Linked DNA regions of Caenorhabditis elegans. The protein of the gene in region 1 interacts with the protein of each later gene in a pairwise test. Each region holds a gene or a part of one and is shown in the gene's direction. Other genes may lie near its edges.

Region 1 (6,279 bases):
CTGGAAAATCATCGAACAATCAAGCGGAGGTCATTTTCGATATGCTCGGATACCCAACAGATTCTGATGTGTCATCAATGAAAGTGAGCAGCACGAAGTTGCAGGAAGTTTTGGATTCATATGAATATAATAAATCGAAGACAACTGCCGACTTGACTTATCTCTACACACAGACAGTCATTTATCAGAAGGATCGGAGAACTACAGTCTATAATACGGTAATTATTATACGAAGAACGAGTTCATTGAAAATTCAGACAATTTTCATCAGCGACCGGTTTTAAGTGCTACATTCGGAACCATCTTAACATTTGAAACCGATTTGATGTACCACTAGTCTGTTATTGATTGCGCGGCACAAGCTAGGTACAAGATAGGCACAGAGTAGGCACCAAACGATAAGGCGCATGTGGAATCAAATCGGTTTCAGGCAAAAAGCTTTAAGAAAACCTCCAGAGAGTTGTTTTTCAGAAAATTGAGCAAGATGACATGAAAGAGTCAGTAGCAGTTCTTCTTCAAATCCTTGTCTACAATCCGAACAAGCGTCTCTCTGGAATTGAGATTCTCACTCATCCGTACTTTAATGTGGTAAGTTTATCTGAACCTTATGATTGTCACCTAACATAATGATTTTAGTTATTCAACGAGAAAACGGTGAGATTCAATAAAAAGAAGATTTTGTGTCTTTCTGCAGTCGACTTACAATCCGTGAAATCTGGAGATACAACTTTGACGAATGAATCGGTTGAGCAGACGAGTTGAATTCGAGAAAAGAGCACTGATATTTAGATTATCAATTTTGTAATATATGAACAGTTCTGAATGGGGTCTCCAAATTGAAATATATGTCACTATATCTGTCTTTTTAGAAGCATAACTAATTTGAATATGGAGTTTCGTCCTATGGCTCCTCTGGCGAAGAGCGCCTTGGACTGCTTGGCATTGTACACCAACTTTTTGCCAGAATTTGGCAGCGACAATATTTTTTTCAACAGTTTAAAACAATACAAGAAAGGTTTGGGTCAAAGTTTGACATGAATAAAATCAAACTTATGCCAAACTCTAGTGCATTCTAAATCTACAAAAGGCCGAGTGGAAAAGTCGATCTGAAACAAACATTCTGAAAGCTTGAATTATGTGTGTTTTTTTAGAAAGAAAACTTTAACTTGATAAAAAACTACACTTTTGGAACAATTTCACAAAACTCGAAAGTTGGAAACATCCAAGGAACAGTTTTCAGGTCGATATTTTTTAGTTCAAAGTGCGAGGCATGTAGCAGAATGTTTTATAGGGGCCTATGCAAAAGGTTTTCTTTCAAATAAAAAATGATTTTAATTGAGAGTGTGAAAGTTAAAAAAATTTGATCAATCAATTGTGGTCATTCAACTTTCAAATACTGGTCACACTATAAATGCGTGCATTATTTCACTTATTTTCTTGCATTATCACTATCACATTTTTATATGCCCTATCATCCATCCATCATCTTCTAATTTTTTTCCGTTTCCTCCTTCATCATCCTTAAAAAGTCTCTCCCCTCTAATTCCATCTGTTGCTTCTTCTCTCAAATATCCAGTGACCATATGTAGGGGGGTCACTCTCAATTTCTTTTCATTTCTTTCTCTCTTCATAGTAATAATACGGTCCTCAACGGTGTTTGGTGACGAGGTACTGGACAAATAGAAAAAGCGCGCACGCCCCTCTCTCTCACACCATTCCTTTCCCATCCCCCATCATCCTAAAGAAATATTGATTGGTGAGAGTATATGAAAAATGGAGACTCAGACATACGTATCGCGTGTTTAAAGACATTGTGTCTACAATGGAGAGTATTCTCTGACGCATCTTACTCTAGATTTTCCATACTTTCTCTCTCATCGGGCAAGGAAGCGACGATTTACATAATTAATTGATTTACTCTCGATCCATTGCACAACTTGTTTTAAAATTCAATTTTTTAAATTCTTCACCTAATATATTCAATTGCCTATAATTTGTTTTGGTGTCTTTCAATTCTTCTTTTCGACAGAAAAAAACTTTTCTTTATAGTTTTCAGAATGGCTCAGGATATATTTATGGATCCATGGCAATCGGCGACGAGGTAAGGCATAGTGTGACATTATTAGCTTAAGTTATGGCTTTTTATTGCAAAAAATGTGTTGATTAAAATTGGTTTTCTATGCAATACAACTATTCAGATATGCTTATTGCTGGTTATTTTTGGATACTTCTAAACTTATATTTTAAATTTTAAATAATTTCAGCTTCGCAATGGAAGATGAAGATATGGGCATGCCATCTGGAAAATATGCTCGAATGGAAGATGAAATGGGAGAGAATAAGGAAAGATTTGCAAGGGAAAATCATTCAGAGGTGAGGTTTTGAACATTTATATCTGAAAATTTATACTGCTATGTTTCATTAATTCAAATAAAAAGTACGATACTCTGGGTATTGTTTGACCTGTAAAACTGCAATTTTCATGGGACGTAACACAACTCAAAATTAAATTTCCAGCGATTTTAAATTTTTTAAAAATTTCTACATATGGTGCTAAAATTATCGAGTCATAGAGAACTTTTTAAAAAATTATTTCAAACTGTATAATTAAAATTCAAATAGGCACAATTTTAGAGTTTCACATATCATGAATTCGGAAGCCGACCGAAAAATCTTTCTTTCTGCAAGTATTAAACTAAAAACTAAAAGTTTAAAAATTTGGCAATTTACCAACCCTTTGGTTGAAATTTCTGAAATCAAAATTCAATATGGAAAAAGTAAAATTTCTTGCTTCAAATTCAACTGAAAACGTTTTAGATTGAGCGACGTCGCCGTAACAAAATGACTCATTACATAAATGAATTAGCCGAAATGGTTCCACAATGTGCATCACTTGGACGTAAACCCGATAAACTAACGATTCTCCGAATGGCAGTATCACACATGAAAGGAATTCGAGGACATACGGCACAAGATGAAACTTCATATAAACCATCATTTCTTACGGATCAAGAATTGAAACATTTGATTCTAGAAGCAGCGAATGGATTTCTTTTTGTTGTTTGTTGTCAGACTGGAAAAGTGTTATATGTTGCTGATTCAATTACTCCCGTACTTAATTTGAAGCAGGTGAGCAAGATTTGAATCTTTCATTATTGAAATATAAATATTAATTTTTAGGAAGATTGGCTTCAAAGAAATTTGAATGAACTCATACATCCAGATGATCAAGATAAAATTAGAGATCAATTGTGTGGAAGTGAAGTATCAGTTAATAAAGTTCTCGATTTGAAATCTGGTGAGTTATCATAAAAAGAGAAGAGGAGAGATTCAAGGATTTTTTGAATTTTTTCCAAAGTAGTCATATAACTTGGAACCGTTTACAGTAATAACCACTTACTTCAGTCAATCGAATTAAGTAGTATTTGTTTTAAAAGCATCTATTGTAATTTCACTAGATTTTGGCATGCCCAAAATTTGTGATTTTCCGTCAAAAAGGTATCTGCTCGCTCTTAAAATGTGTGTATCTTTAAAAGTACAGTAACCCACTTCAAGTTAACTATCAAAATCATTGAATTTTAGGATCAGTGAAACGCGAAGGAGCATCAACACGAGTTCATATGTCATGTCGTCGTGGATTCATCTGTCGAATGCGTGTCGGAGCCCTTGAACCACTTCATCGTCTCAGAAATCGCCGTCCCTTATTCCAACATGCTGGTCAAAATTACGTTGTGATGCATTGCACAGGATATATCAAAAATGCTCCACCACAGGGAATTAATGCTCCAGCTTCATCTTGTTTGGTGGCAATTGCCAGGTTACAGGTTAGAATAGTTTACGATGCAGATAAACGTGATTTAATTAAAGGTAGCATCAATGCCGGTCTGTGCTGATCCAACATCAACAAATCAATTTTCGGTTCGTGTTTCGGAAGATGGAAAAATGACATTTATTGATGCGAGGGTTAGTGATTTAATTGGTTTGAGCAGTGATCAACTTATCGGAAGATATTGGTGGAATCTTGCACATCCAGCAGATGAGAAGACCCTTCAAGACTCATTTGTGGCTCTTTTAAGGTAAGTTTTCGTAAAAAAACCTTTTTGAACAATTTGCGTCCATCAAATTTCATATTACCTGCTTTCAAGAGTGTGTGCGGTTTTAAAGAGTACTGCAATTTCAAACTTTCTACTCTGTAGAATTTTCGTCGATTTTTCATAGTTTTTCTCACTATTTGTAAAAATACATGTTGTCTTATGTGAGTTTTTAAACAAATAAATATACCTTTATCAAAAAAACTATGAAAAACCAAAGAGAATTGAGTAGAAACATTAAAATTACCGTACTTTTTAAAGGCTCAAACCTTTTTCATTAAACAAACATTTGTCTTGTCGAGACCAGGTACCGTAGTTTTTTAATCGTAATTTTCGCGGTTCTAGGGAATATTTTCAGGCGAATTTTTCACGAATAATATTCGTGGCGGGACCATTTCGAAAAATGTACTTTCCTTTAAACCTATAGCAGTAGATTCCATGTTAACTAAATAAAAACATTTCCATTTCAGTGACCAACCAATGAGAATAAATATTCGAGTACGTACCAGTACTGATTACATTCCATGTACTGTGTCTGCATACAAATTCATGAATCCATACTCGGAACAGTTCGAATACGTGGTTGCAACACATCAAATTGCTCCACAAGAAGATATTAATAATTGGGTCACTGCACCAACTGTTCCTCAACCTCAAGCCAGTGAATTTGGAGAGCTCGGCGGTGCTCCAAGTGCTGTGGATTACGGACAATCGAGTAGTGGAGGATGGAGACCTGAAGCTCAAGGAGCACCACAGGCACAATGGCAATGGGACCCGATGAATGGATATAACCAGTGATTATAATTTCTAGAAATTGATATATTTTTTTTTGAAGCCTATTCCAATGATTCTCATTTCTATCTACTTCTTGAAAAGTTTTCTTTTTTTTTCAATTTCCTTAACTTTTCTGTTCAGTATTTTTCCTTTTTTCTGGACCAACGAGTTATTCAACTCATTCTGAACACTAAATTTTATTACTAATAATATTGTCAAAAAATCAAAAGAAAACAACGAATAAATGAAAACAACTATAAAATAACGGATTATTGCTTATTTTGGTGGATTTTGAAGAATATATTCCGTCGCCGACGTTGCCGTTGACTTGTGCTTTGAGAACTGTTTCGCTGGAAGTTGTTCCGTGTTCATTTCTGTTGGAAGCCATGTTATCGGTGTCCATTGACCTTGAATAGAAGGAACCAATGCACTTTGACGACTCTCTAGCTTCACAACTGGTTCGCCGCTTCTTGAGAATAACAAATGCACATCTTTGCTCACTTCGTCTTGTGTCATGTTTTTTGCATTGATCTGTAGAGTCCGACCATTTCCATATTCTGCGCGGATTGATGGGTTCGAGTTTCGCACAGGCTGGGCATAGATCACAACTGATGGGTTTTTACGGCCTGAAAAAAACGGATTTCCTTCTTTATTTAAAAAAAAATGAAGCTTTTAATTTAGATTCTCTATTAATTTTTTGATCGTAGACAGAAATTCTTACCGATTTCAACGAGTTGATTCTCAATAAAATTGCGAACTCCGACACTGGATTCACTTTGTTTGCAAAACCTGACAGTGATGCGATGAAGTTGGTTGGTGTAACGCGAGATTCCATTATAAGCCGGAATTTTCAGAAAATCAGAAAATCGCCATCCAAAGTTCAGAGCTTTTGCGGCTGTGTAAATGGGTTTGAGGCGATCAACACGTGGAACCGATGGCATCTAAAAATGAGAGTTTGATAAAATAAACTTTAAGTATAATATTGAAATAGAATATAAGAAATCGTACTGTTAAATTGGCAAAATGAAGAAAGGCAACGGCGCTCTAATGAAAAGAATACGAGCGTCTTGTTCAAAAGCGACGACAGCTGATGCGAAAACAGGTTTCGCGAGGTTATTTACACAAACAAATTTCATTAAAATAGAAAAAACGTGACTAATCATCACATATCAAGAGATTTTGTTGAAAATATCGAGCCAAAAAATTAATAAATTCCATTTGAAGCTCCGAGAATTCTAGGCCACGGCCGTGTCGTACACGAGGACAAAATTTTTTTCCTGTGATTTCTTCTTGTTATTGCACTTTGCCCCCTATTTAGCCACACTCTAGCCAACATTTTTTTGTTTTCAGATGGCAATTGCAACGACAAAAACTGCATTAACAACAATGTAAGTATTTATTAATATTTGATGCT
Region 2 (8,080 bases), on another chromosome or scaffold:
GACTCTCCGCAATTGAAGTTTCAATCATCGCAGTTTTCTTTCTGCTTTCTTTGAAAATGAAGCGTGATATCACGAAGGTCTTTCTGACTATTGTCTACATTCCACTTGGACTGTCATCTCTGTTCAAGATTGCACTGGCTATCTACAGTATCATGCTTGGAGCTTATGGATGGTGGTACATGGTTTTTCTGATGTTCTTCAACTGGTTTTACACTACAGCAGTCCTCACTACATCCATTGGATCTGTGATTTTTCTCTCGGCGTTGATTGTAATTGCAAGGAAAAGACAAAACTTTAATCCTTGTGATTCATGGTAAGAAAATGGTTAGAATGACACAGCAAAAATCTTGAATAACATTTTTTGTTAAATGAATAGTTGATGCCTCCGATATTTTCCAGGACATCTTACTTTGCTGTGCTCTTCTTTGCTGCTATACTCTCTGGTTCATATCATTTCATCGCATCCCAATGGAACCCACTTCCTGCTTCTGCACTGTTTTTTACCTACCTTTTGTGCACAGTGGGAATCATTGCCGAGCTTCTAGTGGTAATCTATTTTTGATCTCTAAAGGTGGACATCAGTGCCCAGTTATACATTAGTGAGGTATTAAACAAAGTGTGAAAAAATCCAAAGAATAGTAGAAAATTTAACCGAAGCCAACAAGTGGTGTGATCCTATTTAAAGATCGTTTTCAGTGTAATTGTTTTGCACTTTACTTCTACACCCCTACACATATCTATTGACAGTAATTCAACAATTCCACCTTCAAATGAAATTTAAATATAGAAAATCAAAAATGTTTTCCAGTGCTTGTGTGTTGGATTAATGTGCAAACCAAAACCAGCAGCCGGAACAAACATGGCAGTTCTGACTGGTGATCCAGTTGTCGATGATGCACGTAGCCGTCTTGGTTTTGGAGCAGCTGCTGTAATTGTAATGAATATTCCTCAATGGTTTGAGTTTTGTAAGTTTTTGCAACTGAATTGAATTTTAATTGGTTTTATCGTATTCTTTTCAGATGTGAAAATCGCCGAACTTTTCGCGCCATACCTTTGGAACTCGGACGATGAAAAAACTGTATACTACACTGCACTGGCAATTCAACTTCTGACATTTGACACTGTTCGTTTGTTCATGAGCCTGTTCATGCTAGTTGCCTTCTTCCTAACCGTTTCATCAAGATTTGCCATTGATCAATGGATTCGTCGTCAACATCACCCAACTGGAAATCCAACCGCCACACAGAACAAGGTCTTCATCGCAACCCAAAATCAACCATTGCTAATGGATACCGGAGAGAAAAAGAGTCCACCACCACCAACACCTCCAAATCCTCCAGTTAATCATGCTATTGCTCCAGTCGCTCAACATCCTCAACCCATGCCAATTCCCCACCAAGTACCTTCGCCAGCTCATGGTGCAGCTCATGGTCATCCACAAGCTCCACCAATGTATCCTGGAATCGGATTCGCTCCTGGTATGCTTCAACTTCCACAAAACATGCAAACAACAATTGTCTATACTCCATCAATGGCATATGATAACGGACATCCTGCAGCTCAAGTGAACTAAGAGCTTAAGAGTTTTAAGTTAATTTGAATTTTTCATTTTCACTAAATAAACTCCCTGTTAACAAATTTCAAAAGTTAAAATGAAAAACAACTCCGGTAAATGCATAATTACGACAGTAAAGTTATGATTTAGAACTCATTATAACTGTTTATTATGTGTGTTTAGCTTTTTTTTTAATTAGTAAAAACTAACCCTGTTTAATGCTCTCCCTAAGTATCACTTAACATACGCCAAAAGTACTCAATTTCCTAGAAAGGTCAAAATGCGGAAAAAGAAAAGTACACATTTCTCAGTGTACACTCACTTTTGCTACCTATTGCAACATGCTGGCACCGCTTAGCTAGCGGTTTTCCTCACCTCCGTGTTGATAAACAAAGAGTGCAGAGACAGTGGTCAGTACCTGGGGGGCAGTAACTAGGTACTTCCCCCCGTACTTCCTTAACCTACAAGATGGAAAAATGAAAGAGATGAGTGAAATTGAAATCTGAGAGAGTAAATGAAAGTAAGAGAGAGTGATCGAGCAAACAATGGACGCGCCAGTCGCGGCCGCGGCCATGGCTCTCTCAAGTACAGTGAGGATTACTGTCCATTCGAAACGAGAGAGGTGCTTTCCTTTTCTAGGCGGGCGGAGATAGTCAGTGACGTAACACGCGGTGTCCGCGCGGAGTTCGGGAGGTAGATGGTCAGGGCGTGACCTCACGAAGATCGCCCGTGTTCCCGCACATATCGCATAGTCTGCGTGGCTGCACGAAGAGCTCCGTGAAGAAAGAGATGAGCACGACGGTGCCTCTACATGCTTCTTCCTTTTCTTCCGGAACAACCGGAGCTGGAGGCGGAGTTCAACAAGCTCTTCAACTGCAACATTGTGCCTATCACGTTGGAGCATCGGTTGGCAGTAGTGGTTCAGCACTTAACAACAATTCAATTAATGTTCCTAATAATAATACAATGGGAATGTCTTCAGCAGGAAGCTCTAATGGGAGCAACTTAGTCAATGGCCAGCAAAGGTGAGTTGTATCTAATTATATCATTCCACTTCAAACTTTATTTTTCTATCTTTCTTCTGAAAACTTTGCTAAGTTCAATTATCAGTTCAACCATCCTAGAAATCCTAGATCCTAGAAACTCATCCTCCATCCATGCCATCAGTTTTATAGTTTCATAATTTTGCTCAATAATTTTGCAGGGGTTCTATTTTTCATAGTGGATATGATTAGGTTTTGACTATTTAAAAAAGCTGACAGTAATTTTCAAAAACAAAATGTTTAGATGTCAATTGTTCAAAGCCTAATAATACCATTTTGAGGAATTCAATATTCACAATAAAGTGAAGAAACGGATATTACTAGGTCTTCCATGCAATTTAAAAATTCTAAAAAGCGTTCCAACAAGGCAGCCGTATCTGGTCTTAAATTTGAGCAGTGAATTTTTTGCAAAGTTACCCCTTACAGTATGATTTTTCATAACAAATTAAGTTTCTCTTCTGTTTATTTTTCTATTTATGGCATGCGTGTAAGCAGGAGAGTAGGTATTTTTAGGCCTAGTTGGAAGATGTATATAGTCCACAATAATGTGGTCTAAAACTTTTCTTATGTTCGTCTATGTCTATGATAAGATAATGATTTCACAATTAATCCCAAATTTTCAAAAGCTCAAATTTCTTCCCGGATATCTTACAAGTTTCGAAACCTAACCAGTTCTTAAATAAACATTTTCAATTTCTTGTCTCCCTTTCACCTCCCGCTAAAGGGTCATCATGTTCTAAGTTTGACCAACTTCTTTCAAAGACCTTTTTCTTTCCGCGCGGAACTTTCCGTGCTCCGCTCTTTTTCCGCACGGACACTCTGACGTCACGTGTGTGTTGAAATGAAATAAGGTGAATATCCCACAGAGTCTGTATATTTAAAAGTAAATATGAACGAACGGCTGAGAAAATCGGAGAGAATGAATTAGCAGAATTTACATATTGCGCCATAAAAAGACAAACACGAGTTAGAAGTGGCTCAAAGCTCAATTCAAAGCTCAATTTATTAAATAACTGAGAAGTGTTTAAGGTTCCTTTGATAGTGAGTATACATTTTTCGATACGCTTGAAGTAGAGATTTCAGCAAAAATAAAACTCAAATTTGAGCCCGGCCGAGTTTAGTAGATTCCAAAAACTGGTTATTGTACCATTTGACGTTTGTTTATCTGAATATGCATATTTAAAATGTGCTAATTTATTTTATATTTGAAAACAAAAATCATAACAAAAATCATAGAGAACTTTCTTGGATGTTTAGCGTATAATTTTTACCTTAGAAAATTTCACGAACATTATTTTATTTGAAATTAAAAGTAAATCTTCTCACCCCGGGAAATTTAGAGATGAAGCTTTTCAAACCGTTTCACAATCTAAACTTTCTCCCCTCGGATACCAATGCAAACATTCGTTCTTCATTTCTCATGCGCCAAGAAATTAACATATTGCGTCACAGTCTATACAAACAATTCGTATTTTCTAGGTCAACTCGTGGAGCTTCAAAGCAACGCAGAGATCAGATCAATGTGGAGATTCAGAAGCTTCGAGATCTTCTTCCTCTATCAGATCTTATCAAGGATCGACTTTTCCAGTTACAAGTGATGTCCCTTGGGTGTATTTTCATACGGAAACATAGATATCAACAAACAGTTCTACAACCCCAGCTGCAAATGTTACAAATGCAGATGTCATCTCCAATGCCACGTGGCATCGATATCTGCAAAGCTCTTCGAGGATTCATGTTAATGGTCACGAGAAGTGGAAAAATACTTCATGTTTCCGATAATGCAAGCGAGTACCTGGGACATTCAGTTGAAGAGATTATGTGTCAGGGAGATTCAATTTATGATTTGGTGGATGGGAGAGATCATGGTGCTGTACAGGCAGAACTTGCAAGTGGACCTCCAGGAGCTGCAACTTTTCCGGAGGAAAGAGTATTCATATGTCGATTGAATTTGGCAAGAACTGCAAAACGACAGTTACAGTATCATAAAGTAAGAATTAACTTCATTTAGAATACTATCATTTTTTTCGAAGTCATGCTAACTTTGCATTGGGGACATGCCAAATGCCAAAAATATGTTATTTCAAAGCAAAAATTGGGATTTTCAGTTCGTCCTATTCCAAGGTCGATATATTCAACCTGCCGAATTTTATCAACAATTGAATGCTCAAAACTCTCAACCTGATTGTGATCAGCCAGTTTTCTCGGCTTATTGTCAACCTCTTATAAATCCAGAAAATGCTGAAGGAATGTCCACTGGAAATACACATGTGTTTAGTACTCAACATTATTTGGATATGAAATTTAAGGAAGCCGATACAATGTAAGCATGAAAAATGTTAAAAACTTGAATTTTATTATTGATCAATTTCAGGGCCTCTCAACATTTGGGATTCAGTAAAGAGCAATTGAAAGGAATGTCTTGGTACGGAATGATTCATCCTAATCATGTACCCGAAATTGCTCATAAACATCGATTATGTATGTTTTAAGATACTGTGTGAAATACTTTTACATAATTTTTTTCAGTATGTCAAGAGAAAGAAGGGTCAGTTCTTGCATTAATTCGATTACAAGCTGCAAATGGAGAATGGATATGGTTGCATACAGTATTCTCAATTCGACCAAATAATGAGTTGAATAGTGATGGAAAAAGACTTCGTCATGTTATACACTGCTTCCATCAGAAACTTACGTAAGTTTTATGAACGCGAAAATAGTTTAAGACTTTTTCCCGTCCAAAACCACTCCACATATCAACAAAAATGTAAAAAAAATATGTTTTTTTTTACTTTTCTATTTACTATGAGTTCTATACACTCATAACTTTGGAAATCCTTAAGAACAATTTTTTCTAAGATTTCGTATTTTTATAATTATGCTTTATCTATTATGTTGTAAACGTTGTACATAGACATCTCAAACATTCGAGATCGTTCTAAACTGCTCAAAATTTGGAATATTACCAAAACTTCGGCAGAAATGTCTCTAAAATTTAATATGATTTGAAGGTTATTAGTATTATATTGAGTGGGTTAAGTTACATGATTATTAGAGTATTTACAGAAAAGCTCCTTCAAAGATTTACAAATATTCCGTAACTCCAAGCTAGACCCTACAATTAAATTTTTCAGTGATCTGGAAGCTGCGACTCTTCAAGCGAATTCCTGGATCTACAGCATGCGACACACTTACCCAACAGTTTTTTCATGTCAAGATTCTCCACCACCATCCGAAGAACAACAACCATCAAGTCCGCAAACTCCACCATTCACTGAGCAGCCGCCAATGCTCGTTGAGCAGAAGCCTCTTATTGGAGCAGGAATCGCACCAGGTTTTCCGTCATTGGATTACAATCAGGTGATTAGAACGTAAAACTTCGATTTAATTTTAACTTTATGAACTTTCAGATAAAAGTGGAAATTCCAATGCGTCCAATCAATACTCAAATTCCATTATTTACCCCCGAGTCATCATCACCGGAGAGTTCTGCATCCCTTCATACATCTTTACTTCCTCATCATAATGCATTCCCATTAGACATTCTTGAAGACATTTTACCTTCAAATGACGTGCTCCCAGAGCTTAAAGATGAAGTGGACGAAATTCTTCGGCAAGTTGAGCAATCTCCAGCAACATCCCCAGCTCATTCATTTCCTTCAAATGTTAATTTTGGTCATCGTCATTCTATGCCAAATGCATTTGATTCCGCCGAATTGTACAAATATCTAGGACCAGCACTATTTGATGGAAATTTTGCAATGCAACATCAACACCACCTCCAACAACAGCATCAATCCCAACCGAATCATCCTCTTCAAATGACTCCAATTCCTCCCATGTCATGTCCTCCATCAAATTACGGACAATCAAACTTTCTATTCCATCATCAACATCTCAATCAACACCTACATCATTCCCAACCTCCGCATCCTTACCATTTTGATTATTACAACCGAAAACGAAGTTGGGCTGTATAAAATAATTGAAAATTAGTACTCTAGTATCTCATTTCATTCCATTACTCAAATTTATCTCTTATATTTATTTCCATTATAGACTTTTCAATTGATGTCTTTCATTTTCATTCATTATCAGTATTTATCCGGGTAGATTTACAAGAGCTTTCACATATTGACTATATCATTCTTTCAATTTTATAATTCTCCTCTTTGTAAGTTTTAATAAATATTTTATTGTTTTTTATTCCACAAGATAAAGCATTACTGAAAAAATTTACAATACTTCAAAAATAATTATTTATTGAATTTTAGTCTCCAGGTTTAATCAATCAAATAATTCTCGTCAAAATAGCCTTCGAAATAAGTTGTATTGCAGTAAAAACGTATGATTTTATCTAGAGACAAAAAAATATTTCCAACGGTCAAACGAACCTTTCAAATGATGATCTGAATTTTTTTCAGTTCATTTTTTTTATGGAATCCAAGCTCCTTTTAAAAAAAAGCAGGCCACTTATGTTTATTATCCTTCGGCACCAATAGATTATTTTGAAGTAATTTTAAAACTTGACAAATCGGCACCATTTTTGGTTGAGAATTTTCGGGTCAGAACTTTGAAGGAATCCGAGGTAAGATCTGCTCTAAATGTGTGTGGTAAGCTAGCCTAAATTAAAGTTAGTTTCAGATGATATTCAATTCGTTTTGACGTTTGAGACTACCTTGACTACCATTCCTTGTTCGAATAATTGCGTACATAAATAAAAGCATTAAAACTGACAAAATTGTGCTAAACACAACAAAAACATGACAAACTTCAACGAATCACAAAGCACAGTTTATCAATCCGGGTTCAATTCTGAAAAGAAATCGGCGAACTTCAACATCAAGCCGCCCATAAGAGACATAATATGATAGTCATTAGTTGCATCATATGTCTGCTCCTCCTATCTCATACTATATATTCCAATGCCGAACTGATAGTGCCGAAAAGAAGTGAGTTTTCCATTTAATTTTTCGCTGCAGTTTTGTTTTCGTCAACCAGTTTCAATTAATTCAAGCTATATAATACATTTACAGGTTAAATTAGGGGAAAAAAGTTGGAAGCCATGAAGACGTTTATTGCATTGTTAGCTCTCTTGACTGTGGTCTCTGCAGAAGTCCACCAATTTAATATTGGGTAAGTTTTACTGATTAATTGAGCTCAATTTTCCATTATTAGATACCGACCAAACATGCGTCAACGTATGAATGCCAAAGGAAAATTGGCAGAATATGAAAAGGAACGCAACGAACTTCTGTCAAAGAAGAGCCTTCAATTGGCATCATCCTCGTCCCCAGTTATTGATTATGAGGATATGGCATACATGGTTCAAATTAGTTTAGGAAGCCCAGCTCAGAACTTTGTTCTTTTTATCGATTCTGGTTCTTCTAACTTGTGGGTCCCAGATATCACATGTGCTGGAGGAAAAGATGCCACTTGTGGAAGTTACTGTAAATCTGTGAGTTTAATAACTCAAAGAATC
Region 3 (7,998 bases), on another chromosome or scaffold:
GTGGTTTATGTACTTACTGGGTCAAGAGAGTGTGTTAGATGAGAGGTCTTTTTTTTGGTTTTTCTTCACCTCTCTCAATTTTCAGAGAAAACTCTACTTCTCTAATTCATTTTTTGATCAACGAAGAAATGTTTGGATGCCCATCTTTGGTTTGTAGGCACCGCCCACTAGCTGCTCAGTTTTTCTCTAATGAGAGATTTCAGATTTTCAGAAAATCTATTAATTCTTATAGTTCAAAGGTAACGCTAATAGGTTTGATTTCATTGATCTGTATTTTAAATTTTTATTTAACTCCAATGTCAAAACATAGCTCCTGAACCACATATCGGAAAAAGTTGATCCTTTCCATTATAAAGATATGGACTAAACTCAATTTTCGCTAAATTTAATCAATTATCAGTCACTCTACTTCTCTGTACTCTAGCTTTCCCCCAATTTTTTGTCTAACATTCTGTCAATCGACAGTCTCTGAGAAGTCGTTTTGCCCACTGTCGTTCAATTTCTTGTCTTATCAACATCTTTCTTCTTACATTTTGTCGTCGCCTCCCGCTTGTTGATGATGACTATCTGTTTCCCTCGTTTCATATGACTATTGATTTTATTTAATGTTCCAATAACTTTCGACAATTCTTTATTATATTTTGAGGATTTATATTAATTGTGCACTCTCTTGATGTATCGATATTTTCAATTTCTCGATTAAGCTAAAAAGTGTGATATGAGATGTAAGGACTAGCTTTATTAGACTCAAAACTGTCTGAAAACACCAAATTTCTTAATGAAACTTTTTGAAAACTTCTCAAAAAAATTATGGTGGCTCAAAAAGGACCTAAAATCAGTTAAATTTTAAAATTTGAGCAACTCTCAGCGGCTGAAAACTTATTTTTTTGTCATATTTTGGGCCGCCATAGTTTTTTTGTGTCCTTTTCAAAAATTTAATTAGAAAATTCGGTGTTTTCAGACAATTTTGAGTGTAATAGAGTAATTAAAAATTCGACTACACCGCCTTTAAGTCCAAAGATTGATTGAATCCCGATCTTAACTATTTTATTTGAAATTCACTTGATAATAAGGATAAACTAAAATCACTACACAAACTACCCTTTCTGAACTTGAGTATAGTTATCTTCAAAAACATTATTGTTTACGCTCGGTGAAAACACTACATTCTAGTGATTCCCCTGTTCTTTGACTTACTTCAACTACAATTTTTTCAAAGATTGATCGTAGTTCATTCATAGTTTGATGTTAGTCACCCCCTCAATCTTGCCCCATTCATACCATTGACGTAACATCAATATCCAGATTTATATTTTTGAATCGGGAAAATTTTGCTTTTAATCTTTTTGTGTGCCCTTTTCTCCTTCACTGGCTTATCACATGATTCTTGTAATCAGTTTGTATTCACTCAATATAAAGAAATTGACAATTTTTCTTGAATTGAATTCAGCGAAATTTCCAGTCTACCTAAGTTCTTGTTTTTAGATTTGGGTTTTAAATTGAGCATTTGATCTCTATGATTTGTTTTCTGCAACATTCTTATGATACTTGCCTAACAAATAGTCAATTGTCCATGAAATTGTTACAAATCTTGACGTCCTCTGGGACCCCGTCCAAACAACTGTCACTAACATATCCAATCGATCGTTTTGTGCACCCTTGGTATTTATGATGTTTCAATTTGTCTCACTACACTCTACCCTAGTGCTATAAATCATAACTAAACTTGATTTTTTATTCAAAAGTGTTAACATTCGAAAATCTAACAACCCCTTATGTTCTCAATGATAATTTTAAGAACATTTGATACAATTTTTCTAATTCCCTCTACCCGATTCTATTCAATTTAAAATTGTCATACATTTTCAGCCCACCTGAAAGTTGCCCGTCATTACGGGGAAGTTGCCCCAATCACACCAACCTCAGCTTCACTGAAGCTGCACCTATTCACTATCAAGATGGAAGACAATCGGAAAAGGTAGAGTTAGAATTCTGTTAGAATCGAAATTCATTCTTAAACATTCCATGATTGGATGCCTGAAAACGCTAGAAGTACCGTAGTCCTTTGGGTTTGCTCCATGCTCTGCTCGCAAATGAGAGAGAGGGAGCATTGGCAGAGGTAGATGTATTGAAAATGCGCATTTCCGAATCGAATATCAAATGTGAATCATCTATATAAAATATATCTCGCTCTTTTTAGACACAACTCATTTTTAATCGGAGATGTTAGATAAAGTAAATTATGAAAATAAATTGTGAAATAATTGTGATTGAAGGTGGAGTAGCGCCAGTGGCAGTTTTGCCTAAAAAATACACTTACAATGGCTCGAAACAACCAAAAATCATAATAAAACACTTAAAAATTTTTTAGATTTTTCATAATTTCCGGTCAAAGTTTTGGCAAATGGCCAAAATTTTTACAAACATAAGTATTTGAGGAATGCCGCATGTTCCGATCCCTACTATGCTTCCAAAATTATGAGTGGCAAAAATTGAGTGATTATCATCTAACGGACGGTAAATAAACAATTTCAAAAAATTTTTGACAATTTTTAATTTGATATTCGGTCATTTTAGTACCATTGGATTAGTTTTCAACACTTTCTCCACTGGCTCCTCCTACTCCACCTTTGAAAAAATAAATTTTCCCAGTTATACTTAAAACTAAATTAAATCGAAAAACCTCATGAGAAGTGTACTTATATAGGTATATAATTTTTTGAAATTCACCAATTTTGGGGTGACAAGAAATTCAAAATCAAACTTTTTAGAAACATGGAACGCCGTCGTGAAACATCGAGACACGCGGCTCGTGATCGTCGGTCTAAAGAATCGGATATATTTGATGATCTGAAAATGTGTGTGCCTATTGTTGAAGAAGGTACCGTAACTCATCTAGACCGTATTGCACTTCTTCGTGTTGCCGCCACAATTTGTCGACTGCGCAAGACAGCCGGTAATGGTAAGTGACATCGAATAAAGAAATAGTTGATTCAACATCAAAAATCACTTGAAAATCGTGTTTTATGCTGAGAAAATCGACCAAAAATCACTGCCAATTTTTCTCAAATTAATATTTTTCTTTCAGTATTGGAAAACAATTTGGACAATGAAATCACAAATGAGGTATGGACTGAAGACACCATCGCCGAATGCTTGGACGGCTTTGTTATGATTGTTGACAGTGATTCTTCAATTCTTTACGTCACTGAAAGTGTTGCAATGTATTTAGGATTAACACAGGTGAGCAATAGAAAACTTGCTTCTTTAACATCGATATATTTTCAGACAGATTTAACAGGTCGAGCCCTTCGAGACTTTCTTCATCCATCCGACTATGACGAGTTTGACAAGCAATCAAAAATGCTGCACAAGCCACGTGGCGAGGACACAGACACCACCGGCATCAACATGGTGCTTCGAATGAAGACAGTCATCAGCCCACGTGGAAGATGTCTGAATTTGAAGAGTGCTTTGTACAAATCAGTGTCTTTCCTGGTTCATTCAAAAGTTTCAACTGGTGGACACGTGTCATTCATGCAAGGTATCACAATTCCTGCTGGACAGGGTACAACTAATGCAAATGCATCTGCAATGACAAAGGTGAATATCTGCTTTGAATGTTTCATAGTAAGATTCTAAAGTTTGAACTTTTGATCTTGGGAATTTCTGCTCCTCCTTTCCGCTTCTTGATAAACTGATGGAATTGTGAGACAAAATGTTGAGTAGACGTTACACAATTTCATTTTCTTCTTATTCTTCTGCTCGCTCGAAAAGTTTGTTCTTTTGATCTTTAAAATAGAGAATAGTGCTTTGAGCAAAGCACACTCAGCCGTTGGCACCTCGCGCATAGAAAACAGGATTAGAAAATTGGAGAGAAGTAGAGAAGCACAAGCACATGCAACTTGGCGTCATCTTCTCCTTTTTTGAAGCAGAAGAGAAAACGGAGAAGATGTTACATCTTGTATTGCTGCTCCGTTTGCAAAAGTAAAATGAGCAGGGACTCTGAATACCTAGATAGAAAAGTGAGTCCTAAAGGGCGTGTATATTCGAAAACTTTTTCAAATCAGATTTATAGATGCTATAAGTTTAATAAAAATATAGATGGATTAATTTACAGTACACGGAAAGCCCAATGGGTGCATTCACAACTCGTCACACTTGCGACATGCGCATCACTTTCGTTTCGGATAAGTTCAATTACATCTTGAAAAGTGAGCTGAAGACTCTCATGGGCACCAGTTTCTACGAATTGGTACATCCAGCCGATATGATGATAGTATCAAAATCCATGAAGGAACTTTTTGCCAAAGGACACATCCGTACCCCGTATTACCGGTTGATTGCTGCAAATGACACACTTGCCTGGATTCAAACAGAAGCTACTACAATCACACATACGACGAAAGGACAAAAAGGACAATATGTCATTTGTGTTCATTACGTTCTCGGAATCCAAGGAGCTGAAGAGTCATTGGTAGTTTGCACTGATTCAATGCCAGCTGGAATGCAAGTAGATATCAAGAAGGAAGTGGATGATACAAGAGACTATATTGGAAGACAACCTGAAATTGTGGAATGCGTCGATTTTACTCCATTGATCGAGCCAGAAGATCCATTTGATACGGTTATTGAGCCAGTCGTTGGTGGAGAAGAACCTGTTAAGCAGGCTGATATGGGTAAGTACATGTTTAAGAACGTATTAAAAGTTTGTAATTATACAGTTTGATTCACCTAAGTTTTTTTTATCCAAATTGAATAATTTACGAGGTACGTATATAGGAATTTATTCGGTGACGGATGAGTATGAGCAACGTGTTTATGGGCAAATTTCTGCCGGCAATGATATAGAAGACTGCGATATGGATTCTGATACAGAATCCATAGAAGATTCCGGTTTAGCACCGGAATTCGATGTGGATCTGGCTCCGATTTATAATGAGAAAATGGAAGTTGACGGAGAGGATGAGGACGGCGGAGAGGAGGTACTTTGGGAAATGGGATTATGATTACTAAGTTAAAAAAACAACAGATCGCAGTTTTCCCCTCCGTTGTCCTCATACCTCCGTGAGTTTCTCTTTTTCTTATTTTCAAACTTGTCAAACTTGTCCATGCATGTCGTATTATTTTTTACCCTACGCCTACTCAAAGTTCCATACATTTAGCAAGTGATTTCTTAACGTGTGTATTTCAGGAGCACGTAAGAACAGCTACGATGACGTTTTGCAATGGCTTTTTCGCGACCAGCCAAGCTCTCCGCCGCCGGCACGCTACCGGTCAGCGGACCGCTTCAGGACAACCGAACCGTCGAATTTCGGTTCCGCTCTGGCCTCGCCGGACTTCATGGATTCGTCATCTCGTACCTCCCGACCGAAGACATCATACGGACGAAGAGCACAAAGTCAGGGAAGTCGAACAACTGGATCGTCTTCCACGTCAGCATCGGCCACATTGCCACACAGTGCCAACTACTCGCCACTTGCAGAGGGCATCTCACAATGTGGACTTAACAGTCCCCCGAGGTTAGTTTTTTATACATTTTTCACAATTAGCACGTTGAGCATGTACATGTTTATAATATCCTTGTATCAGTTGCAGTATCAAATCTGGACAAGTCGTGTACGGAGACGCTCGATCTATGGGACGTAGCTGCGATCCGTCCGATTCGTCACGACGCTTTTCCGCCCTTTCACCATCAGATACTCTCAATGTGTCGTCCACTAGAGGCATCAACCCAGTCATCGGAAGCAATGATGTGTTCTCCACTATGCCTTTTGCCGATTCTATCGCCATTGCCGAAAGGATCGATTCGTCGCCAACATTAACCTCTGGCGAACCAATACTTTGTGGTTAGTTTTTTTTAAATGTTCAAATCAATCTCATTCGTGAAAGAAATCAGATAACTTTCAACAAAATGTTTAACTTTCAGACGATCTTCAATGGGAAGAGCCTGATTTATCGTGCTTGGCACCATTCGTTGACACTTATGATATGATGCAAATGGACGAGGGGTTACCACCAGAGCTTCAAGCTCTTTACGACTTGCCTGACTTTACACCTGCGGTACCTCAAGCCCCAGCTGCTCGGCCTGTGCACATTGACGTAAGCCTGTTTTGTTTTTGGCTCCTAACATTATGTTAATTTTTGCAGAGAAGCCCACCAGCGAAGCGAATGCACCAATCAGGTCCCTCAGATTTAGATTTTATGTACACTCAACATTATCAACCATTCCAACAAGACGAGACATATTGGCAAGGACAGCAACAGCAAAATGAACAACAGCCTAGTTCTTATTCCCCATTTCCAATGCTCTCTTGATTATTTTCTACCCCCTCTCAAACTGTTCATTGTTTTGTTTTCAAAAATATACTCTTCATTCATTCAAGTCACACTTCTTATTACTTAATTCTATTGCTCTTTTTAAGAATAATGAGTTTCAAGAATCCTCCCCGATAAATTTTCCCCCATTCCTTTTTCCCTTTCCCTCTGATTTCTTTATTTAGTAAAAAAAAGAAGAATCGTAGTACAAAACGTGTCTATCTGTGTGTCCGTTTGTCCGTTTTTCCCATCTCCATAGTGATAGTTAATTGCATCATTTATACAACGAATCTTCTTATGTTAAGTTTTCTTTTCATTTTTTCACAATGCTCTCGTCTCATTCATTTTCAAAATTCTGTCCGTCTTCGTTTTCTTCTCGATAAAACCTTTTTGGTTTGATCATCTTTTTAAAACTTTACAAAAAGCACTATTACAGAGTTTAGCATTCATTTTTGTGGAAAATATCTGAAATTTTGAGGTATGAGCTTGTAAAGTGAAAACGCGTCTAAATCTATTCGTCTTGATTTACAAATTACTTCAAACGTACGATCTTCCTATTAGACTTTCACTTCTTAGTAGTACTGCACCTCGAACACCTTCTAAAATTTAGACTGTTTATTTTGAAATGTTTTTTTGCAAAATTACAACAAGGCTAGGATTATTGCATTTTTGTTCCAATTAACCACAATTTTGCAAAATGTCTTTCAGAAACAGTTGTTCTTGTAAATGAAAACATGGAATCCTAAACAAAAAAGGCGTATGAAAATTAGTATTGCACAACCTAGTTGTAATGCATTCGCTTTGAAAAATAGTATTGCATTCATATTAATAGATAATGAATACATATACGCATCAGACCTCCGGTTTTTTTTGTGGAAAAAGCGAAAAATGAAAAATTTTCTTACTTTTTTCTGTTTTCCAATTATTCGGTTTTTCGATTTTTCGGTTTTGCACAAGAAAAACTAAAAAATGGTCATGCAATAGTCAATGTTGAAAACTGTCAGTTTCAATAATTTCCGACAATCGGGGGTTTTATGCAATTTTATAAGTTTCAATATGCTAAGTTTCACTAATCAAACCGATTCTTTTTGCAAAAGTGGTTTGAAATTCCATATCAAAGATCAAGATCTAGAATTATCAAAACTACTGTTTCGGAACTAAAACAACTGCCTAGTTCAATTTGCCATTCCAAATCAGGGGTACACGGCAATTTTTTCTGTTGTGTCCGTTAGAATTGTAGTAATTAGTCGAACCCACAATTTATTGATGAGGTTAAATCGGTAATAAATATATAACAAACAAATGAGTTCAGTTCTATTCACACGTGTTGATGCCCTCTTGATAACCTTCGCTCACGTCATACTTCTTTCTGGTGTGTTGCATAACCACACAACATTTTCTGAACACAAAGTGCTTTAAACAATAAGGTAAAAGATATTTACCAAAGTTGTTGGTTGTCGGAAATTTTTGGTTCCCAAGCACCGAACAATAAGTTTTGAATTCTTCATTTTATCAAAATTTCAATAACTATTGCTTTACTTTTGAATAGGTTCGCTCTTTTTGGTTGTTGGTATGCTATCCAATGTTTGACTCCTGCCCTTTTGACTTTAATTTTCAATAAAAAATTTACGTCTCTCCATCTTTTTTCATTTCAATGTCAGTTCAGACGGACAAGTCAAA

Evidence for each region. The genes of interacting proteins can lie anywhere in the genome.
Region 2: the proteins of aha-1 (region 1) and cky-1 interact in a two-hybrid assay, tested with the Caenorhabditis elegans proteins (3 studies listed by BioGRID).
Region 3: the proteins of aha-1 (region 1) and hif-1 interact in binary tests that used the Caenorhabditis elegans proteins (3 or more experiments, as listed by UniProt).

The regions. Positions count from the first base shown.
Region 1 is NC_003279.8:10,192,769-10,199,047, reverse strand, and holds aha-1 (Aryl hydrocarbon receptor nuclear translocator homolog), read left to right. Parts: upstream 1-2,050; 5' UTR 2,051-2,057; coding exon 2,058-2,101; intron 2,102-2,264; coding exon 2,265-2,373; intron 2,374-2,817; coding exon 2,818-3,129; intron 3,130-3,180; coding exon 3,181-3,298; intron 3,299-3,582; coding exon 3,583-3,824; intron 3,825-3,867; coding exon 3,868-4,076; intron 4,077-4,561; coding exon 4,562-4,889; 3' UTR 4,890-5,123; downstream 5,124-6,279. Other genes in the region: Y106G6E.1 (Protein kinase domain-containing protein), read left to right, coding at 1-218, 472-588, 637-762; C25A1.15 (Transposase), read right to left, coding at 1,452-1,727; mrpl-34 (Large ribosomal subunit protein mL43), read right to left, coding at 5,142-5,491, 5,587-5,806; lid-1 (AB hydrolase-1 domain-containing protein), read left to right, coding at 6,216-6,253. UniProt on the Caenorhabditis elegans protein: Transcription factor. Efficient DNA binding requires dimerization with another bHLH protein, such as cky-1 or ahr-1. Regulates transcription of target genes, probably acting in complex with cky-1. Has a role in cellular differentiation.
Region 2 is NC_003283.11:12,734,407-12,742,486, forward strand, and holds cky-1 (PAS domain-containing protein cky-1), read left to right. Parts: upstream 1-2,296; 5' UTR 2,297-2,344; coding exon 2,345-2,580; intron 2,581-3,321; exon of another isoform or gene 3,322-3,510; intron 3,511-4,077; coding exon 4,078-4,588; intron 4,589-4,706; coding exon 4,707-4,921; intron 4,922-4,972; coding exon 4,973-5,079; intron 5,080-5,127; coding exon 5,128-5,293; intron 5,294-5,732; coding exon 5,733-5,958; intron 5,959-6,008; coding exon 6,009-6,578; 3' UTR 6,579-6,799; downstream 6,800-8,080. Other genes in the region: xbx-9 (XK-related protein), read left to right, coding at 1-313, 400-547, 809-965, 1,020-1,573; hrg-7 (Aspartic protease 10), read left to right, coding at 7,664-7,734, 7,777-8,056. UniProt on the Caenorhabditis elegans protein: Transcription factor. Efficient DNA binding requires dimerization with another bHLH protein, such as ARNT homolog aha-1. Regulates transcription of target genes, probably acting in complex with aha-1.
Region 3 is NC_003283.11:20,778,544-20,786,541, forward strand, and holds hif-1 (Hypoxia-inducible factor 1), read left to right. Parts: upstream 1-1,863; 5' UTR 1,864-1,958; coding exon 1,959-1,978; intron 1,979-2,771; coding exon 2,772-2,962; intron 2,963-3,088; coding exon 3,089-3,243; intron 3,244-3,288; coding exon 3,289-3,603; intron 3,604-3,928; exon of another isoform or gene 3,929-3,992; coding exon of another isoform or gene 3,993-4,025; intron 4,026-4,120; coding exon 4,121-4,679; intron 4,680-4,782; coding exon of another isoform or gene 4,783-4,985; intron 4,986-5,194; coding exon 5,195-5,522; intron 5,523-5,592; coding exon 5,593-5,849; intron 5,850-5,929; coding exon 5,930-6,102; intron 6,103-6,150; coding exon 6,151-6,318; 3' UTR 6,319-6,717; downstream 6,718-7,998.